3 linked regions of the Mus musculus genome follow. The protein of the gene in region 1 interacts with the protein of each later gene in a biochemical or structural test. Links are inferred from orthologs where the notes say so. Each region holds a gene or a part of one and is shown in the gene's direction. Other genes may lie near its edges.

Evidence for each region.
Region 2: the proteins of Rb1 (region 1) and Usp4 form a complex in vitro, tested with the Homo sapiens proteins (2 studies listed by BioGRID). The link is inferred for Mus musculus from reciprocal best matches to the Homo sapiens genes RB1 and USP4.
Region 3: the proteins of Rb1 (region 1) and Ahr form a complex in vitro, tested with the Homo sapiens proteins (2 studies listed by BioGRID). The link is inferred for Mus musculus from reciprocal best matches to the Homo sapiens genes RB1 and AHR.

Annotation. Positions count from the first base shown.
Region 1 is NC_000080.6:73,195,257-73,202,688, reverse strand, and holds the end of Rb1 (retinoblastoma-associated protein), read left to right. Parts: intron 1-3,364; coding exon 3,365-3,507; intron 3,508-4,107; coding exon 4,108-4,157; intron 4,158-5,404; coding exon 5,405-5,478; 3' UTR 5,479-7,187; downstream 7,188-7,432. UniProt on the Homo sapiens protein: Tumor suppressor that is a key regulator of the G1/S transition of the cell cycle. The hypophosphorylated form binds transcription regulators of the E2F family, preventing transcription of E2F-responsive genes.
Region 2 is NC_000075.6:108,343,714-108,351,924, forward strand, and holds the start of Usp4 (ubiquitin carboxyl-terminal hydrolase 4), read left to right. Parts: upstream 1-4,117; 5' UTR 4,118-4,204; coding exon 4,205-4,305; intron 4,306-7,196; coding exon 7,197-7,324; intron 7,325-8,211.
Region 3 is NC_000078.6:35,530,896-35,539,077, reverse strand, and holds the start of Ahr (aryl hydrocarbon receptor), read left to right. Parts: upstream 1-4,088; 5' UTR 4,089-4,454; coding exon 4,455-4,516; intron 4,517-8,182. UniProt on the Homo sapiens protein: Ligand-activated transcription factor that enables cells to adapt to changing conditions by sensing compounds from the environment, diet, microbiome and cellular metabolism, and which plays important roles in development, immunity and cancer.

The DNA of each region.
Region 1 (7,432 bases):
TGACTTATATTGCAACTAAAAAAGAAATAGAAGATTTTCATAATTTGAGATTAAAGGCACTGTTGCCTAGATAGGTCCTTTAGGCTGTCTCAGGTTATTTTCAAATCAGGTTTAACTTTGAATAATATTCATAATTGGGAAACTTGCAAGTTTTTTCTAAACATTTCTCTGAGATTATGTAATATACATGTAAATAGTCATTTGTATACACACATAAAGTGTTTTTATGTTCCCAGTACTCCCAAAGTGAAACATAAATTCTCCAACTGTATGCATAGCTGCTGTCATCCAGTTCAGTCTGACAGATTACCCAGCAGTCTTTGGATCCCACTGGCTCCAGGGCTCAGGTCATTAACTTCGCCCAGGTCGTAAGTGGCAAGTTCCTGGGTTGCACTAATTTTCTAACCAAACTGGCCAACAGTCAGGGAATCCCTGTAATATCTTTCTTTTCCAGTTTGACCATTTGCTAGAATACTCATAAAACTTTGGAAAATAGTTTACTGACCATAGCAGTTTATTACAAAAGATACAGATGAGCAGCCGGATGAAGAGACACATAGGGTGATGTCCACTGGGGCTTCTGGCCCGCTCCTGTGGAGTCCGCATCTCCAGAGCTCTCCTAAGCCTAATGCTAAAGGATTGGATTTTGTACAAATAGTTGATTAACTAAATGTCTACCCACTTTCCCTACTCTGAAGGTTAGGAACCGTGGTTGAAAATTCCCAGCTTCTAACCAGGGCTTGTCTTTCTGACTCCATACTGATACTAAGGGCCTATCAGGAGTCTCTTTATTAGAACAAAAGATGGCCCTATCTTCCTTATCACTTGGGAAGTTCCAAGGGTTTTAGGAGCAGGAATAGAAGACAAAGACCTCATATCTTTCTATGTGGTAACATGTATGTGTACAATCTCATAGAAATGTTTACAGAAGTTTGAAGTGAGGTCCTCTGAAATGAAGCACAATAGCCTCTGCAGCATGACTCTGGCACTGGCCTCCTCCCACACCCCCGCGCTCTAACACTCCTTCCTGTACTTACTCACCCCACCTCCCACTGCCTTCTGCTCCCTCTCGGTGCTAGTCTTTCTCTGATCAATAAGGACCTGAGGTAAATGTGCTTGCTGCATAAGCCCAGGGGCCTGAGTTTGACCCCAAGAATCCACATGAAAGGTGGCAGGAGAAAACTGACTCCTAAAGTTTGTCCTCTGCTGTTGGCATGTGCACCACAGTACACATACTGTTATATTCACACACAGCGTGCACACATATATAACAACAATAAATACAATTTTTTAAATAATTGGTTTCATGATGAACCAAGCACAGTGGTTTATAATCTCAGAAGACTGAGGTAGAAGGATCAAGAATTTGTGACTACTTGGAAATGAAAAATCAGTTCTCTCTAATAGTCTCTCTGAGGATACAAACTATACTTTCAGGGCAGGTCCTGTACCCAGCAGTAGATAATTTACACAAAACAAACTCAGTGGCAACTTTGGAAGTTCCTTTTTGTCTCCTAGGGCTGTTTTTCTTTGTGTGTGTTACAGCTTTCAGTTTGTGTGTTGAGGGATTCTTGCGTGTACCAACCCGTGCCCTGCATCCATATGCCCACCTCATGCTTTTTCTTTGGCCCTTTTTCTTCTGTGTATTTGTTTTGTCATATTTTAGTTGTTTTATTTTATTTATTATTATTCTTTAGATGCCTGTTTGTTTTCTAACAAAAGACAGAAGGGGTATAAATTCCAGTGGGAGAGAAAAATGGAGGGAAACTCAGTGGGAGAGGGGAAACTGATCAAAATATATTGTATGAACAACATCTAGTTTCAAAAAGAGAAAAAAATAAAAAAGAGTTTGTGGCAAACCTGAGCTACATGGTGATTTGTAGGCCCGCATGGGCTATATAGCATTAATGTTGTTTTAGGTGAAAACAAAAGAGGGAAAGAAAAGGGAAACAGAGGAAGAGAGGAGAAAGAGAGGGAACAGCTGTGTGCACACCCTAGAGCACTGGCTAGTTCTGAGCCCTCCTAACACCGAGGCCCTTTCCTGGTGTGCTGGCCCCAACCAGAACCTTAGTTTTGTTGCTACATCATACTGTAATTTTGATATTGTTATGAATTATAACAAATAATTTTGGAGATAGAGTTTTGCCAAAGGGGTCTTGACCCACAGGTTAAAAAGCACTGCTCTAGCGGTTGGTTGGAGTTTATATGCTAAATAAAATGTAAAAGTTCATTTTACAAATCCTCAGTGCTGTGACAGCTGATTGAAGACGGGCTGTAGCTGCTGGGCTTTACAAAGGAGCTGTGGGACCATTCGTTTACACCTCACGCAAGGCAGCTCACACAGGTCATCACACTTTTGCTTACTGCAGCCTGTGAAACAATGGAGACACTATTCATCCGCATAGTAATAAGGCCCTGGGACTTAGCTTCTGCCATGTTGAATATGTACTCTACATATATTTTCATTAAATTAAGCTGATCCTATCTAATGCACCAATCAGTTCATGTTTAAGTTCTATCTGAAAGTCTAACTTCATTTGTTGGCTTAACTAACATGTAATACACATGCCTGAGACAGTCATGAAATGGAAGCTAAGAGACAGACTGTTTCCACATACTTATCTACTGGGTGAGATTGGGTGGTGTGCCTGTTCTGGCATGTCTTACCAAGGTCACATGTCTAGTAATATTGCCTGGACTAAAATTGTGAAGTCTTTGAATATTTAAGTTAAAAACCTTTATAAATTAGCAACATTTCAACAATGCCATCCATGATGAGTGATGGTTAGTGATATATCAACATCCCATGACTCAATCCACCTCAGGGAGTATATCAGTCACGGCTCCTATGGCCTTCCTTCTTGCTATGTAATCCTCTAAATCACAGCTTTTTTTAAAAAAGGTTTTTGGTTTTTTGTTTTTTTGTTTTTTTGTTTTTTTTTTTTGTTTTTTGTTTTAATTTCAGTTCTAGAAATAGGATCCACCTTTACTACTTCTGAGAAGTCCTGGTTTCAAGCGTTGAGTGCCAGCAAGGCCATAGGCTTAGCCAGTGCTTGACAGCGCAGGGATAGCACAGAATCAGAGCTGCTTGGATAGATGGGAGAATCAGCTGCTTGCATAGATGGGAGAATCAGCTGCTTGCATAGATGGGAGGATTCAGGAGGAATGGGTGTTTAATGAAGGCAGAATTGGCATCCTTATGCTAATTGTTTTTAAATCTGTCACTTAGTCCAGTAAGGCAGAGAATTAAAATGAAGAGATTACTTTTGCCTAACTTTTGGTGCATCTCAAAATAAAATTTGTAGCTGCTGACTTCAAAATGTGGCTATTTAATGGTTTAAAATAAGAACTCTGTAATTTACAGACATCTGAAAAGTTCCAGAAAATAAACCAGATGGTGTGTAATAGTGACAGAGTGCTCAAAAGAAGTGCTGAAGGCGGCAACCCCCCCAAACCACTGAAAAAGCTGCGCTTTGACATCGAGGGAGCCGATGAAGCAGATGGGAGGTAGGAACCATGGAGATGCTTGCTCCAGGTAGCTGAGCAGAGCACAGAGCCACTGTCAGCCCCGTCCTGAGTCCCCTCAGGCCTTGTCCTGCCAGTTTACCACTTTGTGAGAACAACTAAAGAGACTAGATGTGGGAGAAGGTAGCCTATGCCTTTAATCCCAACACTTGGGAGGCAGATGAGGCCCCTCTCTGGGAGATCAAAGGCAGCCACAGCTATATAGTGAGACCTTGTCTGGAAAAACAAGAGAAAACAACATACTAAGTGTAAAGTGGTACAGTGGAAAGCAACATGCAAATCTGCCATCTATAAATTCATGACGACTTAGACATTACAAGTCTAAGCATGGACTTACACAGCTATTGATACAAATTTGTTAGTTTTAACATTAAATTAAAAAACTCTTAGAAAATACTAAATTATGCTCTATAAAAACCACTAAAAATATATAAGATCATAAATTTGTGATATCTTTTTTTAGATCACTTAGAAGCTTTTGAAATTAAACCAAAATAATAGCATGTAATTGAAAGCAACAGAGTTACTAGGAAGTTGCATGCATGCTTTTAAAATGTGTTTTTTTTTCCCCCCAATCTGCAGTAAACATCTCCCAGCGGAGTCCAAATTCCAACAGAAACTGGCAGAAATGAGTAAGTTCCCCTCTCTTACTTTGCAAACAGGGAAGCAGCATTTGATTTCACTGAAGAAAGCCTTTTGACTCTGAAGGAATCCACACATTATTCCTTCAAGTGGCACAGTTATTTATGCATTTACAAACTAGTAGTTCAAACAGGAGTATACAATTTACCTCACACATTGGTAGACTAAGTGTGTTTCACAAAGTGTGGGTCAGCACACTTTGAATAGTCTTAAGCTGATGTTGATCTGTACTTTAAAATATTACTTTTTGAAATTTTGTACATGTATGCAGTATGATTTGATGGCATTCTCCCCTCACTGGCCACCTTCTCTCTTCTTCCAGGCACCTCCCCTTAAACTGCACTCCCAGCCTTATCTCCTCTTCCTTTTCCATAGCCACTGAGTCCAGTCAGTGCTGGTGGTATGCAGACAACTTTAGGGCCACCCATGGAGCACACACAAACCACCAGGGGCTTGTTAAACTTCCTTACTCTCCAGGCTTTGAGACAGTTCTAAACAGAGGTTTCCATTACTGGAAGTCAGATTTGTGGAAATTGGGATCAGGTCTGTCAGTGTGACAGCAATTTAGAATGGTGGGGTGAGGGGTTGTCACTGAGTAGCAGAGTGTTTGCTGCCTAATGTGCACAAGGTCTTGAGTTAAGTTCTCAGCACTGCAACAGACAGGCTATATATACAATCAATCAATAAAATGAATGTTATTTTTGGAATAGTATGACAAATTTAATTTCACCCTAAGCTATTATGAGACTAAAAAATTAAGTAGATGGAAGGAAGCGGTATTTGCTAAGTGTTCTGGTTGTCTTAGGCACATAGCTGTGGTAGTAAGAGTAGCTGCTGCAAGACCCAGTAATAGGCAAAGAAAGGGACTTAGAAAAAGTAGAAGTGTTTAGAAGCTTGTGGGGGCCACTGCCAGTGAAGGTGATGAGGACTTACAGGCAGGTACTGGACATGCATGGCAGCTGCCAGAGAAAGCACACAGCAGAGCTGTACTTCTTCTGCATACTTTTAAAGCCCTTTCCCTTAAGTGTGTCGTTTGAACCTAAATTAAATATGCTAACCACTTAAAATACTAGTTATATGAATTAATACATCTCTATTATATCTCTTCAAGTTTTGTGTGCCCCAACCCCACCCCACCCCACAGGACCCCATGTGCAGACATGGTGGGCTGCCTGCCCCTGGTCCACTTACTTTCCCAGAGTCCTCAGCACTATTAATATTCTTGTTGCTTTTCCAGCTTCCACTCGAACACGAATGCAAAAGCAGAGAATGAATGAGAGCAAGGATGTCTCAAACAAGGAGGAAAAGTGAGGACCTCAGGGCCCTGGACCCTCAGCCCTGGGGACACCAGACTCCTGGCTCATGGTTGTGACTAGTTCCCAGGTTCTGCTCATGTTAGAGATATAAAATGTGCAGGTACAAGCTGAATATTTGTGTGGGTGATTCGTAAGCCACTTCAATGTTGTAATCAATGGTAGAGAATTGATAGCACACAGGATTGAGAATCTTGTGCAGATCATGCCATTTAAAATATGAAAGCAAGTTGTTTGCATTTCCAACATGAGCCTGCTGCCCTCAGAAGTGAGGGCCTCTGCAGGGGTCCTGACCCCCTACATCTGGCTGACTACTTTGCCTTTCCTCATGGCACATGTGTGATGTTTGCTCTTGGTTTTATTAATTTATATGTATTTTTTAATTTAACGTGAATACCCTTAGAAAATGTGTCTTGTCTTCCAAATGCAAGTTGATTGACTGTCCACATTCAACCAAATTATCTTGAATCTTCTACTGAAACAGATTGTTACAAACTGGGAAAAAGTACTAATTTCTACACATTGGACTATTTTAATATTAGAATCTAATGTGCCGTGTGTTTGTTTCACATATTTTACTTTTGAAATACAAGCAAAAAAAGTATAATCATATGATACTGTCTTACTACTGACACAGATTTCATACCTCAGACCCTCTAAGAACCGATTCTTTTATTCACCCAACACATGCTTTGAACTGAAGACTATTGATAATACTCCGAGGTTGTTTTTTTCTTTCAATCATTCAGATCACTGAATTTATAAGTACCCATGTAGTACTTGAAAGTCAAGTTTGGCCACAACTGTGCTTAAGAGGACCCTAGTACAGTACAACCCAAGTGCACTTTTTAATGTTTCTGGGTCCTGAAGAATCAAGATACAAATTAATTGTGATTTACAAGCAGACTGTTAACTATAGAAGCCTTCAGTTTTTTTCCCTCATAGACGTGTCTAATTACATCTCAACAGTTTACTCTGTTCTTCTACATCTGGGGATGTTTGTGTTCTCTCTGGAATGGTACATCTTCCAGGGTCTTTTGAACTTGCAGTTATCTATTTTTTAAGCCAATCTGGTCTAATAACTCTGGCTTCTTCAAAGCCACACCATTTCTAGTCCAGCTGTGCAGAAACTTCAGATGAAAACAGCTGCATTGAAAATAGAGGCACTCCCTTCACCCCCCACCTAAAGGTGTATTTAAATTATCTTGTGGGATTAACTTATTTAGAGATGGTATAATTTAAAATAGGGGATATTTAAGGTAGCATCAGCTAGCATTTAAGAAAATCACTTTTTCTAAACTCCATACTTTTTGAAAAGAAATCTGGTCTTGTTAGGAAACAAATTTCTATTTTGTCCTCAATTTAGTTTCAGTTTTACTAGTTTGATAGTTATCTCAATAACAAAAGCAATAGACAGCTTCCCCCATTTCTTCATTAAGTTTTGCATGATCATCACACAGATTAGTTAGGTTTTAGGTCAAGGGCTTACCATACTTCTAGGTCTTTTGCTAGTGAGTTCAAGTTAGAATTAGTGACAGAATCATAGGAATTTTCAGAGATCCTGCTTCGAGATTTCTTAAAGCTGCAGACACTGCACTATTGGTTTTGTTTTTTTGTACCGGTTGAAACTATACATTCAAATTGCTATGTTCCTATTTTCTATAATAGTTTGTCTATTTTAAAATAAACTAGTTGTTCAGAGCCTTACTGGTGTGATATGATCTCTGAGTTAAGTGTTTTCTGCATCTGAGCTTTCTCCTCACATCTTTTCCATTCTGATGACCGACAGATTTACAGAAATATACTTTTTATGCATTCATATGGTATGTATTATATATTAATATATTCTGTTCTCTTGTGTCTCCTTTTTTATGAAATGAATTTGTCTAAAAAGCTGTATGCTTTGTGAGGCCCTCCCAGAAACAGGAAAAAGGAGACACTAAAAACTTGAA
Region 2 (8,211 bases), on another chromosome or scaffold:
CCTGGTCTACAGAACAAGTACCAGGACAGCCAGGGCTACACAGAAAAACATTGTCTTGGAAAAAAATTTAATTTTTATGTGTATGAGATTTTTTTTTTCTTTTCTTTTCTTTTCTTTAATGGGTAGGAGTGTTTTGCCTGAATGGATGAGCAGGCCTGGTGTCTAAGGAGGTCAGATCTGGATCCCTTGGAAGTGTGGTTATGCACAGTTGTGAGCCTTCATATGAGTGGTGGTGGGAATCAAACCCAGGTCATACTAAAAAACAAGTGCTCTTATCTGCTGAGCCACCTAGCCAGCTCCTCTCCCTCAGAGAGCTTTTATACAAGAAACTATCAAGGTTGGCCTCCCAGATAGAGTGCAGAATTGTCTCTTGGTGGGTTGGTGTATGTCTATTTATTTGTATACTTTTCTTTTGTTAAGAATGGACCTACCTCCTAGCTGGGCAGTGGTGTCGCATGCCTTTAATTTCAGCACTTGGGAGGCAGAGGCAGGTGGATTTCTGAGTTCAAGGCCAGCCTGGTCTACACAGTGAGTTCCAGGATAGCCAGGGATACACAGAGAAACCCTGTCTCAGAAAAAAAAAGGCTCTCCTATGACTCAGACAAGCCTCCTTCTTACTGTGTACCTTTTAACTCCTGACCCGCCTGCCTCCAGTTCATCAACAGAGACATTACAGGCTACACTGTCTATCTTTTCTTTCATTCTGTTGTTACATTTTGTTCATCTGTTACAGTGTGTGAAGGTGAGAGGGCAAGAAGTAGATGTTTCTCTCCAGCTTGTGGGCTTCGGGGGTCAAGCTCAGGTCCTTGGATTTGTAGCAGGTGCCTTTACTTGCTGAACCATCTCACTGCTTCTCCCCTTAAACTGCATTTAAATGTATTCCTTGTGTGTGTGTGTGTGTGTGTAGGTCAGAGGGCAACTCTCTTCGGAGTCAGAGTCCTTAGGAATCCCCAGGATGGATCAATGGACCAGGTCACCAAGCTTGGCAGCAGATGAGGCACCATCTTTTTTTTTTTTTTTCTTTTTCTTTTTCAAGGTCTTACAATGCAGCCACTGGTCTGGAATTTGAGATCCCCCAGCCTCAACTTCCCTAGGGTGGGTGGGCTCATGGACTGACGTGGGGTAGCACGCTTAGCTTCAAGGCTATTTTAAGTACTCCTTTAACTCCTCCCAGTGTCTCTGCTGTCACTTTAACACAGATGTCCCACAGAGACCAAATTATGTCAATTATGGGCTGGTGAGATGGCTCAGTGGGTAAGAGCACCCGACTGCTCTTCCGAAGGTCCAGAGTTCGAATCCCAGCAACCACATGGTGGCTCACAACCATCCCTAACAAGATCTGACTCCCTCTTCTGGTGTGTCTGAGGACAGCTACAGTGTACTTACATATAATAAATAAATAAATATTAAAAAAAAAAAACTATTTAAAAAAAAATTATGTCAATTAGCTAAAAAACCAAAACCAAACAAACAAAAAAGCCAACATACAGTCTTCTCAAGTGACCTATGTCACCTGCACTGGATGGATCCCCTCTGCCACGACAGCCGAGATCTGTGTCTTCCCCTGAAGCTACAGTCATTTGGTTCCTAACTGACCTAGGTCCCCGGTGCCTCTTTGTGCTGTAAGACACCCTCAGGCATCTCACCTCTGTCCCAATCTCTAATGACTGCCTTCATTAAACTAGTGGTCCCACTTGCTTCCTCTCTAGCTGTAGACTCCTTAACCTTCCCAACAGTCAAAGCTCAGCTCTTTGGCCTAATCCCCACTCTGACAATGAATTGCATTCCTTCTGATTTATGCTTCTTCCTCCCAACTGTTTCTTCAGGACCATACTCAAACATTACTTAAATCAAAGTCTTCCATTTTTTTTTTTTTCCTTTTTAAGCTTTTCTTTTCTTTTTTTCTTTTTTGGTTTTTCGAGACAGGGTTTCTCTGTATAGCCCTAGCTGTCCCGTTACTCACTCTGTAGACCAGGCTGGCCTCCAACTCAGAAATCCACCTGCCAGCCCAGCATGGTGGCTCATGCCTTTAATCCCAGCACTCGGGAGGCAGAGGCAGGCAGATTTCTGAGTTGGAGGCCAGCCTGGTCTACAAAGTGAGTTCCAGGAGAGCCAGGGCTACACAGAGAAACTCTGTCTCGAAAAACCAAAAAAAAAAAAAAAAAAAAAAAAAAAAGAAATATACCTGCCTCTGCCTCCCAAGTGCTGGGATCAAAGGCCTGTGCCACCACTGCCCGGCAAAATTACACCTGTGAAGTAGCAACAAAATAATTTGGTAGGGGGGTCACTACAACATGAGGAACTGTATTAAAGACTCCCAGCATAAGGAAGGTTGAGAACCATTGCTCTCGGGGTTACAATGCTCTCTGGCCTGAGGGTGCCTGCATACAGGTGGTGCACATACATTTATGCAGGGCGCACACACATACACATAAAATAAAATGTATCTTTTTTTTTTAATCTACTGGGAAGGTGAGGGAATTGGGGGTTCGTTTGTTTTGTATTAGTTTTTTGAAGGACATGCTTTCCTATCCGCCAAGAAACTGTTTTACTTGCCTTACTGTTAAGAACAGGATTTGTGCCAGGTGTGGTGGTGCACACCTTTAACCACAGCAGGAGGCAGAGGCAGGCGGATTTCTGAGTTCAAGGTCAGTCTGGTCTACAGAGTGAGTTCCAGGACAGCCAGGGCTACACAGAGAAACCCTGTCTCGAAAAAAAAAAAACCGAAACAAAACAGGATTTGCCTGAAAAGCAAAAGCTCACCAGTTGCCCGGGCATCTCCACAGATGGCTTTCTACCATGCTTTTAAACCTGTTCCAGAGCAAGATTTTCAAGACTTGCAATCTTTTCTTTTTCTTCTTCTTCTTCTTCTTCTTCTTCTTCTTCTTCTTCTTCTTCTTCTTCTCCTTCTCCTTCTCCTTCTCCTTCTCCTTCTCCTTCTCCTTCTCCTCCTCCTCCTCCTCCTCCTCCTCCTCCTCCTCCTCCTCCTCCTCCTTCTCCTTTTCTCCTTCTCCTTCTCCTTTTCCTTCTTCTCCTCCTCCTCCTTCTTCTCCTCCTTCTCCTCCTCCTTCTCCTCCTTCTCCTTCTTCTTCTTCTTCTTCTTCTTCTCCTCAAGACAGGGTTTCTTGTAGCCTTGGTTGTCCTAAAATTCTCTCTGTAGACCAGGCTGGCTTCGAATTCAGAGATCTGCCTACCTCTGCCTCCTGAGTGCTGGGTTAAAAGCCTGTGCCATCACCGCCCGGAAGAAAACGGAATCATTGTTTCAGGAAAAAATTAAGATGCCTGGACCTCTGTCGGCTTCGGTGGTTGCTACTCTCTCCTTGACCTGGATGGCTGACAGGATACAAAGTTGTTTAAGACAACTTTGTTTTTTGCGTCTATTTATGACTTTATTTTTGTTTTTTGCAGGTGTGGTGATGTATGCTTTTAATCCCAGCACTCTGGAGAAAAGGGCAAATGGGCCTAAATTCGAGACTAGCCTAGATTACATAAACAGCTCCAGGACAGCAGCTAGAAGAAACCTGTCCCAAACAAACAACAAATTTCACTATTGTGTGCCTGTTTGGCGAACGCGTGCCACAGTGTCTGTGTCGAGAACAAAGGACAACTTTAAAGAGTCAGTTTTCTTTTTCCACTTTTACACGGGTTCTGGGGATCAAACCCAGTTGTCACCCACGTAGCCATCGCGCCGGCCCTTGTTTGAAACAACTATTAATGGCTGGACCACACCGGACAGTCCAGATCTCAATGCGTCCGTGTGCACTTGGCTACAGGGGCTGCCGAGGCAGTAAATTCAATCTCGCATTTAGGCAGTCTTGCTGAAAGCCGCATGGAACCGAGTGGAAACAAGAAAAGCAAGCGGCAGGCTCCTCCTGCACGGATTTAGCATCAGGCTAACCTCACAGGCCAGGATGGAGCGAGTGACTGATGGGTCGAGGGCGGGCCAGCAGTCAGATCGCAGGAGCCGCTCAGACACGGGTGGATGTGGCCGCCGCCTCTGGGCGTCCAGCCTGCTTCTGTCCGCTTCGGCTCCGGAGGGGGCGGGGGGGGGTTAACAGCGCGTGGGGGCGGGGAGAAGAGGCGAAAGTCGACGGCGGTGCCGGGCGCGCGCACGTGCGTGGTTACGTGCGTGCGTGGGCGCGGCCCATAGCACGCCGTGCGCTAGGCGGATGTCCGGGCCGGCTGGGCCGGGGCGGCGGACGAGATGGCGGAAGGCCGGGGCAGCCGTGAGCGACCGGATGTGGAGACCCAGAAGACGGAGCTCGGAGCCTTGATGGGGACCACGCTCCAACGTGGGGCGCAGTGGTGAGCGTCCGCCCTGCCCTCCTGCGGCGCAGAGCGTCTAGCCGGCTCGCTGGCCCTCAGGCCGGACCTCTGTCCTCAGTTTTAGGTGGAGGCGGGCCGGGGGCGGTGCCTGGAGTCTGAAAGAGTGGCTTGACAGCGGCCGCTGATGAAAGAAACCCCGGGATCAGCTGGGGGACAGCGCTGACAGGCGTGGGGTTTGTCCCGGTCCATTCGGATTCACAGTAGTCTTGGACCGGCGGGGACAGGGGGTGTAGAATATAGAAAAGGGGGCGCGCTGGGGTCGGCGGGAGCGGGAAGGTGGGGGAAAGCACTTAACCACCGAAGACTTGGGCGCTTGATGGTGACCTTGGTGGGGGAAGTTTCCACCCCTTACACACCTCCGATCCTTAACAATTAAAACCTCGGTAGCAATTTGTGGCTTAGGACGCTCCTGGCGTGGAGAGAGGATCCGAAGTGGATACTTTGTAACTTGTAAACTGTGATACTTTGTAACTTGTAAACCGTGGGACAGGATTCAAAGCCAAAAACTAGAAGCCAGTTGTCAGATGGTCCGGGACAATTGTAGCAGTAGTTAGATGTAAGAGTGGGAGGGGAGGGGAAGGGAGGGGAGCTTGACTCCTGGAGCAAAATAGAAGATCGAAAGTTACAAGACTTTGCCAGGCACGCTGGCATATGCTTTATTGGTTTGCAGGAGCAGAGGCTGTAGGATTGCTGTAGGTTCAGGGCTGGTCTCATACAGTGAGCAGCACCCCCCCCCCAAAAAAAAAGTTCCAGGTTTACTAGAGCAGATTCAAATATGAGGCCTCTTAAGAGATTGTTAACTAGAAGGGATTGTACTCCCCAGTCGGGGAGAAATGCCTGGGTGGTGCTGCTGTGTAGGAGTCAAATAATAGGGTAGGTTTCTCATTGATTATGACCAATATGAGGACTGAAAAAGAGAACAGAACTTATGTGTTTGGGGTGTGGTCTAGGTGTAGTTTATGGTGTTTAAATTGAGCCAGTGAAAGGCCAGACAAATAGAGAGAGGTACTTTAGAAATTCTGCAAAGGGATGACACAGAAAGAATATTCAGGTTGGTCTGGATGCTCATGCCTGTAGTCTTAGTCCTGGAGGAGTATTGCTGCCAAATTTCAGGGCCAACCTCAGTGACATAGTAAAAGCCTTGTCTCAAAAAAAAAAAAAAAATGGTGGTGGGTAATGTGATTAATAACTTAGTAACATAGTTTTACTTGTAGAAAGAGTCCATTTGAAATGATTGCTCATGGGCTGGTGAGACTGCTCAGCATCTGAGAACTTAGATTATTCTTGCAGTGCCTGAGTCTGAGGCCCAGCACTCGGGTTTGGTGCCTCCCTGCCATCTGTAACTCAAGCTCCAGCTCCAGGGATAGCAACTCCCCTGACCTCCGTGGGCACTGGGAGTCATGCTCAAACTCAGGCACATAACCAAAGCATAATTAAAAAGAAAAACTCAGCCCAGGAGCGGTGGCACACATCTTTAGTCCCAGCGCTTGGGAGGCAGAGGCAGGTGGATCTCAGAGTTTGAGGCCAGCTCAGTCTACAGACAGGACAGACAGAGAAACCATGTTTCGAAAAACTGAAATAAATTAAATCCTAACTAGGCATAGTGTCACACAACTTTAATCCCAGCCTCTGGGAGGCATACACAGGTGGATCTCTCTAGTTCAAGGCTATCCTGGGCTACATACTGAGGGTGCACCTCCCCCCCCCCCCCCGCCATCTCCAAAGTTAATTAGTTTTAAAATTCTTTCAATAATCGTTTATGGTTTTGGTTGTTTGTTTCTGAGACAAGGTCTCCCTGTGGCCCCTACTGGTTTGGAACTTGAGATGTAGCCAGGCTGGCCACAGACTTGCAGACTCTTCTGCATCTGCCTCCTGTGTGCTGGGATTACAGATAAGTGATCGCAGTGTCTTGTGTGTGAGAGAGAAAGAGACAGGCAGAGAGAGAGGGGGGGGAGGGAGAGGAATATGAGAATGTATGGCACACGCTATGCATGCAGATGCCTATGCAGAATAGAAGAGGCTGTTGGATTTCCTGGAGCTAGAGTTGTGCATACCATACATGGGTGCTAGGAACCAAACTTGAGTCCTTTGGCAGAGCACAAGACTCTCTTAACCTCTGAATTATCTTTCCAGTCCCTTGTTCATTTTTTTTCAGACGTGGTCATATTAGGTAACCTTGACTGGTCTGGAATTCCCTATGTAGACCAAGCTGGACTGGAACTCATAGACATCCAAGTGTCTATGCCTCCTGAGTGCTGGGATGTAAAGGCCAGCATGTGCTAGCATGTGTAGCTTTGTTTTGTCTTTTACAGATAGGGTCTCTTGTAGCCCAAGGGAGGGAACCTCAAGCTTACTGTGCAGGGTAGATTGACCTTTTTGCCTGGACCTCACAGATGCTGGAATCATAGATGTGGGTCACCACAAACTTCCTCTACTTATTCTCTTAGCAGTCATTTTTCTTAGTGAATACCTGGCATAGATTAGGCCCTCTCTGCCATGTGGGGCTAACTTCTGTTCTTGATATTAGGAGTGTGATTTTAGTCGACAGTGGCGGTAATGCACACTTCTAGTACCAGCACTCAGGAGGCAGTGGCAGGCAGATCTCTGCATTTGAGGTTAGCCTGGTCTACAGAGCAAGTTCTAGGACAGCCAGGGCTACACAGAGAAACCCTATCTTGAAAAGCTCCCCTCCCCCCAAACGTGATTTTGTGAGAATTGTATATTACCTTGGTGAGAAGACCATAAGGAGCTTAAGGTAGGTGTCTAAAGATGAAAATTAAAGGAGAGCTGCAAAACATAATGCTTTGGGTTTTTAAAACTGTGTTTCTTTATTCAGCTGTATTTTATATGTAGCTGCTATTTCTCCCTAGGTATCTTATTGACAGCCGGTGGTTCAAGCAGTGGAAGAAGTATGTGGGCTTTGACAGCTGGGACATGTACAATGTCGGGGAGCATAACCTGTTTCCTGGACCTATTGACAACTCCGGACTCTTCTCAGGTGGAGTATGCTCAGTTTTCTACTGTAGTTCTCATGGGCCAGTCAGGGGCTGCGTGTATCTCTACCATGGTCCTCATGAGTGTGAAACTTTCATAATGTGAAGACATAGACGTGTTCCTTTACATCTGTAGTAGACGTCTTTGCAGATTATTAGGGAAAAGTCAAGTAGTTATTTTGCCCTAAACAACTACTTCTAGCAGAAGCATGCCTTTTTTGTTACCGTTCTGTTGCTGTGAAGAGACACTATGAACATGGCAACTTATAAAGAGTCACTTAATTGGGGGCTGGCTTACAGTTTCAGCAAGTTAGTTCAGGATTATCGTGGTGGAAAGAGTTTGGTACCAGCAGGTGAGTGTGGCACTAAGAAGTAGCTGAGGGAGGCTGGTGAGCTGGCTCAGTGGTTAAGAGCACCGACTGCTCTTCCAAAGGTCCTGAATTCAAATTCCAGCAACCACATGGTGGCTCACAACCATCCATAACGGAATCTGATGCTCTCTTCTGGAGTGTCTGAAGACACACTAGAGACAGACAGAGCTAGGTGAGGGTTTATGAAACCTCAAGACCACCCTTCAGTGACACACCTCTTTCAGCAAGGCCACACCCCTCCTTATCCTTCCCAAACAGTACTACCATTGGGAACCAAAGATTCAAACACGCGAGCTTAAATGGCCCATCCTCATTCGAACGGCCACATTTTATAGCATACTAATGTTTTTTTCATATTTTTATTTTTACTGTATATGTGCACAATGTAGGATGTGTATGATGTGTGTGCCAGTGAGTCACTGTGTATGTTAAGGCCAAAGTATAGCTTTCTGCAGTTGGTTCTCAGAAGACATCTTACCTGTCTACCTCGTAACGTTTTGTCTCTACTTTCTGTTTTTTAA
Region 3 (8,182 bases), on another chromosome or scaffold:
ACAAAAGCCCATTCCTACTGCAAGGCTCCGCTCGGCTGCCTCAGAGTGACCTCCCCTAGCAGATCAAGCACATCTGTGACACATTCCACGACATTCCTCACAGCATGAGTCACAAATGCAATTACACATTTACCTATGCAACTACCTGATGAACTGTTCTCTCTTCTATTACAAAGCAGGCTCTATTATGGAGCCTGTCTGTTATCACTAGTGTATCATGACATGTCTGGTTTCTTGTGGAAATTAAATATCACAGTGACGAGGATGTTAGCTTAATATTATTTTAATTATTTTTCATTCTATTGAATTTCTTTATTTATAGTATGACTAAAACATACTGTTTTCATACTGAGTAAAGTAGTTGGGTGTTAATGGACTGTTATAAACCAATTATTGCATGTAAAATATCATGTTACTTCAACCCAGAAAACTAAACATCTTTGTGGATGGTCACAAGTGACAAGTTGCAGGTCATGTTCTGCAGTGGTAATCTGAAGCCTTGTTTTGTACAAAGTGTCAATAGTGTCGTGTAGTTGTCTGTAATAGCCCACATTAGAGACTAGCTTTGTTAGCACACTAACTCATAAGTGAAGTTTTTGCTGCCATTACTGAAATGAAATGAATTTCTAAAATTTCACTGTGAACATTAGACTGTTAGTCTTGGCTATACAAAGATTTATTGCCTAAGAGTGGATATGAGGACATAAATGATGTGACTCATAAATAATATTTTAACCAGACACAGAAGTATGATAGGAAAAGAGCTACCATTTAAAAAAGAGATGAAAACAAACAAACAAACAACAACCCACCAAGAGTTTAGCTCATTTAGTACAACCCTTTACTGTGGAGGAGCTCTGACTTTATCCACTCTGTTCTGATGGACTGTGTTAATGTGTTTTACATTTCTGGTTGCTATGCTAAGAGGAAATTGTTCTTTTCCACTCAATGCATGTTGGGATAGAATGATCATGTGTCCCATCTGTTCCATCTATGCAGAAAAGGAGATGGAAGAAAAGGAGACGTGGAGATGTTTGGCCTGTACTTCTGGATTTGCTGATCAGTGTAAATGGTCTTCTTTAGAAATTTGTTTTATTTAATTATTCATTCATTTATTTTACTTATTTATTGCCTTAAGTAAAAGGCAACTCTCAGCAGGATTATCACTTCCTGCATGTTCATCCCACAGTTCTGAGTTATTTTTCAGGGATTTATACACTGGAAACAAAACACTGATTCCCACTTTCCTGTTGTCATTTCCAAGATCATTTCTAATGTATATATTTCTAAAATGAAATTAAAATGAAATCTACCAATCACAGGGCATACACATTCTTCTATAGCTAAGGCTAAATGCTCTTTCATTTTATTTCCACTGTAAATTTTACTAGTCTACTCAGTGTAACTCATCTATCCTTTCTCCCCTAACTTACATGGCACTCAACCCCAAACTGTTGGATCACCTGGAAGACCTTATTAAAGGACTCAGTAAAGACATTCTGTGCAAGTCCCCCCATTTCAGAAAAAAAAAAAATCATACTTAGGCTAATAATATTGGTGCTTAGACTGGCTTTGAACTTGTAGACTCCTTCCTGACTCAGCACACTATGTGCCGGGATTGCAGGTGGGAACCATGAAGCCCTATAGAAGCTATGGGGGACTTTACAAAGCAAAGCCCCTCAAGAACTGCTCTCGTTGTTAGCAAGTCCACCACAGCCCTGATCTCATTTCTGCTTGGGCACTTTCTCTGCTTTTCTATAAGTATCTATTGTTACTTATCACCTTTGTCTTTTTTTTTCCTCACAAAGTCAATGACCTCTTCATCTTTTGTAAAGAAGTAGAACAACCCCACTCATCACTCCCATTAAATCAACACTACATTATTATTAATTAGTAATTAACAATGGGGCCTCGCAAAATAGTTCACACTAGTCAGTGAATCTTTGTTCTCTTTTCTCGGCCTTCCTTGTTGAAATAACGGGGCCATTTTTCACCTTCCACTCCACCGGTGGACCCAGCTCTCGGGGTGGGGGGTGGGGGGTGGGGAGTGGGGGTGGGGCTCTTGAGCTTTCCAGGTTTTAGTCCTGGCAGTTCTTTTGCAGTACCCACAGGGCATCACCACACTCTCTTTTTTGTCCAATAGCAAACAGCTTCTCGATCACAGTTCCAGTTTCTACCTCACAGGTTGCCCCATTTACCATCTTTCCTTAGATGTCCTAAATCTATTTCAAACCTAAGAAGCATGAGGCCAGCTTTATAATTTCTTTCTGGTGATTCATGCCATTGTTACCCAGCTGGAAACATAGTTGAGAAAACTATCAATTTTAACTCTTAAATTTGTTTCTAATATTAGCACACAAAGCGATGGGCTTAATGAAATGTATGAATTACCATGCTCCCATTCTGCTGGACGCCCCCCCCCCATTCCTTCCCCCACTCCTGCTGCTCTGCTTGCTCCCACAGGATCCCCTCTTCTCCTTCTGTGTCATGTGTATTCTCCTGCCCTTTCTCTTCTCACCTCCAACCCAAGAGCTCCTTTTTCCACTCTCATGATCGCTTTCCTAGTTTCAACATGTGTAAAAATCAAAATCTAGAGCATACATCTAGAGAAAACATGGTATTTGCCTTCTGTGTCTGCCATGCTTAACACGGCAGCCTCCAGTTCCACTTGTTTACCTGCAAATGCCATGATTTCAGTTTTATTCAGAGTCCCATAAAATGCCATTGTGTAGACGCACTACATTTTATTTATCCATCCATAGGTTGATGTGAATCTAGTCTGGGTCCACTTCTCACTTGTTTTGAATGAAGGGCTATCAGGTATGTGCGCAGGAGAATAGCAGGTCATCTTGTGGATCTGTTTTTAATTTGTTGAGAAACTCTATACAGAGTTCCACAGTGGCTGGACCAGTTTACAACCACCCACAGTGATGCGGGTTCTTCTTCCTCCACAGCCTGGGCACCATTTGTTGTTCTTAGTTTTCTCGCTATCCTTTTCCTTGCTGTTGTGTATCCTCTCTTCTGATCTCTTTCTCAAATCTATAAAACACATCAGACTTCATCTCTATCTCTTCATGTCCAGCATCACCTACCTGACTCCCAAAATTCACTTCTCTGCCTCTATTCTTTGGTGGTTAACAGCGACCTTCCCTCTTCCTTTATCATCTCTGCTGTCTCTTTTCTCTCATCCCCATGGCTGTGCCATTGGTCTTGCAGCTGGTCGATTTCATCAATTTCCCAGCGATTCTCTCTTCCATCTGTTTTGTTCCTGAGTAACAGAATTTCCACCTTTTCCCACAGTGACTTTCCCAAGAAAGATGGAACATCATCTTCCAAATTACGCCTTTAAAAGCTCTCTGTTGTCTGCAGAATGAGACCCAATTTCTTCATTAAATCTTTATGATTTGTTCCTAGATTATCTTTTTTTTTTTTTTTCTTTTTCCTCCCATCAGCTCTACCGTACTACTAACAGAAACTCAGGTCTCTGGTCATAGTCTCAGTACCTACCCTCCAATTTCTCATGCTCTCAGCACTCCTGTGCTTCTTTCCTTCTCATCTTCCTGAAGTCTGATGGAGGAAACGATGTTTTATTGTCTTCTGTAGACATAAAATAAATGTGGGAGGGAAAAGGATTATAAAACTCGTAGCCTTCAAGACAACTAACTTTGCAGGGCATTTTTGAAGTTTTCCCCTTAGAATGCTCTCCAGTCGCAGTTATTTATCTACCAGCTCAATGTAAAATCTTTGTCAAAAATTAGATGACTCAACTCTAGGATGAGCTAAGCTCTTTGCCTGGTAAATCTTGATGTCTGGGTTACAAGGAATTTGCCTAGGCATAATGTGGCCTCACACCCCTTTTGAGGCTGGAAAACAGGTACTGGGCGAACACCACCCCACCCCCAGAACCTCGGACTGCAAGAAGTGTTGGGAGTCACTACGTCCTGCGTCATCACGTGCTGCGAAGAGGGTGGGGCCCTCCTGGGAACCGTGAGGGGCGGGGCCGAGCAGGTGGGGCGGGGCTGGAGCCCGGGGCGGAGCTGCGCGGGGTCGCGGCTGCGGAGGAGCGGGCTCGCGGCGGGCGGCAGCGTGTGTGTGCGCTCCCTTTGACGCTCGGTGCCCCACGCGTGTCCCGGAGAGGCTCAGCCCGGAGCGACCCGGAGGACGAACTGGTGGACGGACTCGGGGGTGGCTGCCAGGCAGGGTTGTGAGCGACGCCGCGGCACAGCGCGGGAGCCGGGAAGCCCTAGAGCACTGCGGCCCCTCCTGACCCTCGGGACCGGGCGCGGCTAGCGTGCGGGTTTCTCCTCCGCGGCCAGCTCGGGCAGCCCGAGTCTCCTCTGTCGCCCGCACCTGCGCGTCGCGGTCGTCCCGCCCTCGGCGGCGGCTCACCTGGGCGCAGCGCGGGCAGGGCGCCGCCTCCGGGACGCAGGTGGAGCGGGCAGGGCGCGGGCACCATGAGCAGCGGCGCCAACATCACCTATGCCAGCCGCAAGCGGCGCAAGCCGGTGCAGAAAACGTGAGTGACGGCGGGCAGGCGCGCTCCGAGGGTGCGGGAGGTCCCCACGCGTGCCGCCATCCAGGAGCTGAGTCTCAACCAATGCGTTAAAAAAAAAAAAATCCTGCTTTCAGGCACCTGCACCTTTACTGCTCAGCGACCTTCCCTGGCTGGTTCGTTGACAGCTCTGACCTACCTAGTGCCGCTCTAGCTTAGTTAGTTAAGCTTGCCTGGAAATCCTCCACTCTAGATCTCCGCTGCCGTGAGCTTTAGGGGACACGGAGGATAAGTAGACAGCTCACTGAGGTGAGATGTTGGGCAGAGCTAAACACGTGTTGTCTTGAAGGAGGGGACCTGTGCCTTTGAAGGAATGTCTTTCTGTTCTTAGCGCCTAGCTTTCTGTTTTGCTCTCTCATTTACTTCCTAGGCAGCAGTTCTGCAGGGCTCGGTGTAGGCGCAGAATTGATAGCAGGTTGGAGTGTGCAGTGGACAGGTGCCCTGGCAGCTTGGTGGCATTCTTAGCCACTCTTTGGTGCAGTTTTCTTCCTCCTTTTGGAGTGCTTTTGGGTCTGTAAAATTTTAAATCATTAAGAAGAGGAAAAAGAACTAGACTGACTTCTAAGTTATTTCTACTCTCTACCTGTAGTTCATTTCCCCTTGCTTTTTTTTTTTTTTTTTTTTTTTTTTTTTTTTTTTTTTTGCCAATTCTGACAGAGATTACAGGCTTTGGTCTTTATTTCCATGGGCTATTTGTATGAGATGGGAGATTTTTTTTCCCCCCTCAGAAAAGAGATTCATGATTGAGACAGGGTTCCATTTAGGAGTTGTCTGTATTGATGCATTCATTCATAATTACCTTGGAGTTTCCACATCTCACCATTTGTTATTTTTTTAAAAAAATAAATTATTTTAGGAACACTTTCAGGCAATCAGTAGTGTGTGTTTTGCTTGAAACATGACAGCTATCACCAAGTGAACCAAAAAAAGAAAACAAAAACAACAAAAAAACCAACTTAAGATTTATACACTGTTTACAAATAGTTACTAGCTTAGAAGTTGGGTTATTTGTGGATTTTAATTCCCCTTAAGAATTTCAACTGTCCTAGTTCCTCAAATCTTGACTTACAAATTAATATTGAGAGGAGATGTCCATGTGTAAATAGTTTGATCAGAATTTGGAAGTTTTATGGTTGGTACACTTTAAAGGACGCAAATGTCGTTGACTCAGCAGTTTTCTACCCCGGCAGTTCTTTGGACCCTGGCTTTCAGTGCTTTAGTATTTTGTAGGACGGTTTCTTTTTGTTAAAACATGTTTGCTCAATTTGACTTTGTTCCTGGCAGTTACAGTTTCCGAGGCTTTCAAGTGCTTGTTCCCTGTTTTCATTAATAGTAATACTAACTCAGTATGAGATGAAAAATCTCAGGTATTATGTACATGGGCATAAAACTTGGAGCTCCGCTTGAGTGTCTAAGTCTAAGTAACTGATTTTCCTTATGTTATTTAAGGACATAAACTGCTTTCTATACAAAGGTCACCATCTTAAATGTTATTCATTATAACGGCGAGTGCTCTTAGTTTCTAGTTAATATAGAGAGCTTCCTTTTTAACACGACAACACTTCCTTTTAGATTAAGTTACACCTTTTATTATATTGTCTCACTATTTGCATTTGATAATTTCGGACAACTAAACTGTTGTCCCCACGAACTTATATTTTATTTTATTTGGTCCTTGACTTCTGTTTATCAGATCTGTACTGAACACCTTTAATCAACTCTGAGCCTTCAAATGCCTTAAAGGTCACCAGCTTGCTTTGTCGAAGACTTTAGTGCTGGCACTTAGGTCCTTTAGTGAAAGTACTTACGTTGTCCCCCCTGAACAGAAAATAGTGAGCTGTATAATCACATAATCAAAGTTCACCCTTAACAACCAGGTCACCAAGCTTTAGTATGAGTCTTTAAGTTAAACTACTTAGCCTGTGTGCAATGAGGCCCCAAATACCTCAATTTCAGGAAAAAACACAAGTGTTGACTGTGCTTTCTAATTTAATTAACTTGTACCCTTTAAGGTATAGCTGTTTTATACGGAGCATACCCATTGTAATTCTAGTGTCGAAAAATGTCATATTTAAATATACAGTTCCGTGAAAATTTGGAGTAAAGTGGGTGACATGATTTTAACCCGAAGTTCTTTCAGTCTTCAAATGAGGATCTAGATGCAAAATAAGCCCCCTCTAGTGGCCGGTCCCACCATGACAGTTATCTGTAGAAGGAAATCAGTTTGAAATGTGTTCAATTCCATCCAAGGACAGTGTTTTGTATACACTACACTGTGAATAGCTGTTTCCTCCTTCTTCAGTGCAATGAAAGTTAGGAAATTAAGAGATCCTAAGCAGCCTTGCATCTAGCCCATATCCTCATCTTCAAAGGCAGAATGTCAAAGACCAACCTGGGAATAGAATCTTCTGGGATGTGTCTGTTTCCACTTAAATCCTGTTCTTGCTTATTCTCTTTGGAGAGGAAAATGTTGTGTGCAGTTGTTTAGTTATTCAGTCTCATGAAAATGGCTGAGCAAAGCAGAAGATGGAACAATCTACTCTGGTGATTAAAACTTGAAATATATTTTGAAGCTTTATTAAGACAGAAAAGGTCTTACTTACTGCTACTGGTAGTTTAGGATTGCTAGCAAACAGCAGATGCTCAATCAATAAAACCTGCAGCTGTGGTGGTATTCAAGCCAGCCGTAGCAAGGCTCTCATGATCTGCTGCTAAGTACACACCAATATCAATTTTTACCTTGTTAGTATTCAGGAATGCTGAAGTAATATAGAAGCCCTTCACTCTATTAAAACGTTGTGAGCCCCATCTGTATAACAAAACTTTACTAATCATTTTGTTACAGTACACAATACTAAATTTTCCGCAGATCTACAGTATGGGGCCCTTTGCTAGACAGCACCTGACATGAAAGGACTTTGCAGCTACCGTACTATTTTTCATTTTCTCTCAGATAGCAATAGTGAGAGGGCATCTATGCCGAGGCTGTGGATGTGCCTCATGCTCACCCATGGATGTGTCTAACACAAGGGCTCACATCAAACTGAACGAAAGAAGCAACAGATTCAAACTAAAGGGTGAGGCCTAGTTTCTGTTACTGTTGTTTTTCTGTATTAAAATTCTCTTTTTCATACAATATATTTTGACCGTATTCTTTCTCCTCCTTCAACTCCTCCTAGGCCCTCCCTTCTACTCTCCCCACACCATTTCCTGTTCTTTCTCTCTCCCTTTCCTGGTCAAGTTTTTGTTTTGTTTTGTTTTATTTTGTTTTGTTTTTTGTTTTTACTAGCAGGGCAGTCTCCTCCACTGCTGTTCTTACAACTAAACTAGGAAAGCAGAAGGTCAAGTAAACCCGAAGGCTGCTGGAGACCCAGTGGAGGCCTAGTCTTTAACTACTGCTGGTTATGTGTTGCAGGCCTGACAGACAGACACTGCCGGATCTTATTTTCCCCAGCAGAGACCAGTACAGTCTCCTTCCTGTGTTTAGTTAACACCATTACTTAGGAGTGAGCACTACGCAGGTCTTTAACAGTATTCTACTTCTAAACTCTTTAAAAACTGTTTCTTTGGCAGTGTCATATAGCAAAATTTGCTCTTATTCCCCAATATATACTGATAGGATCATTGAAC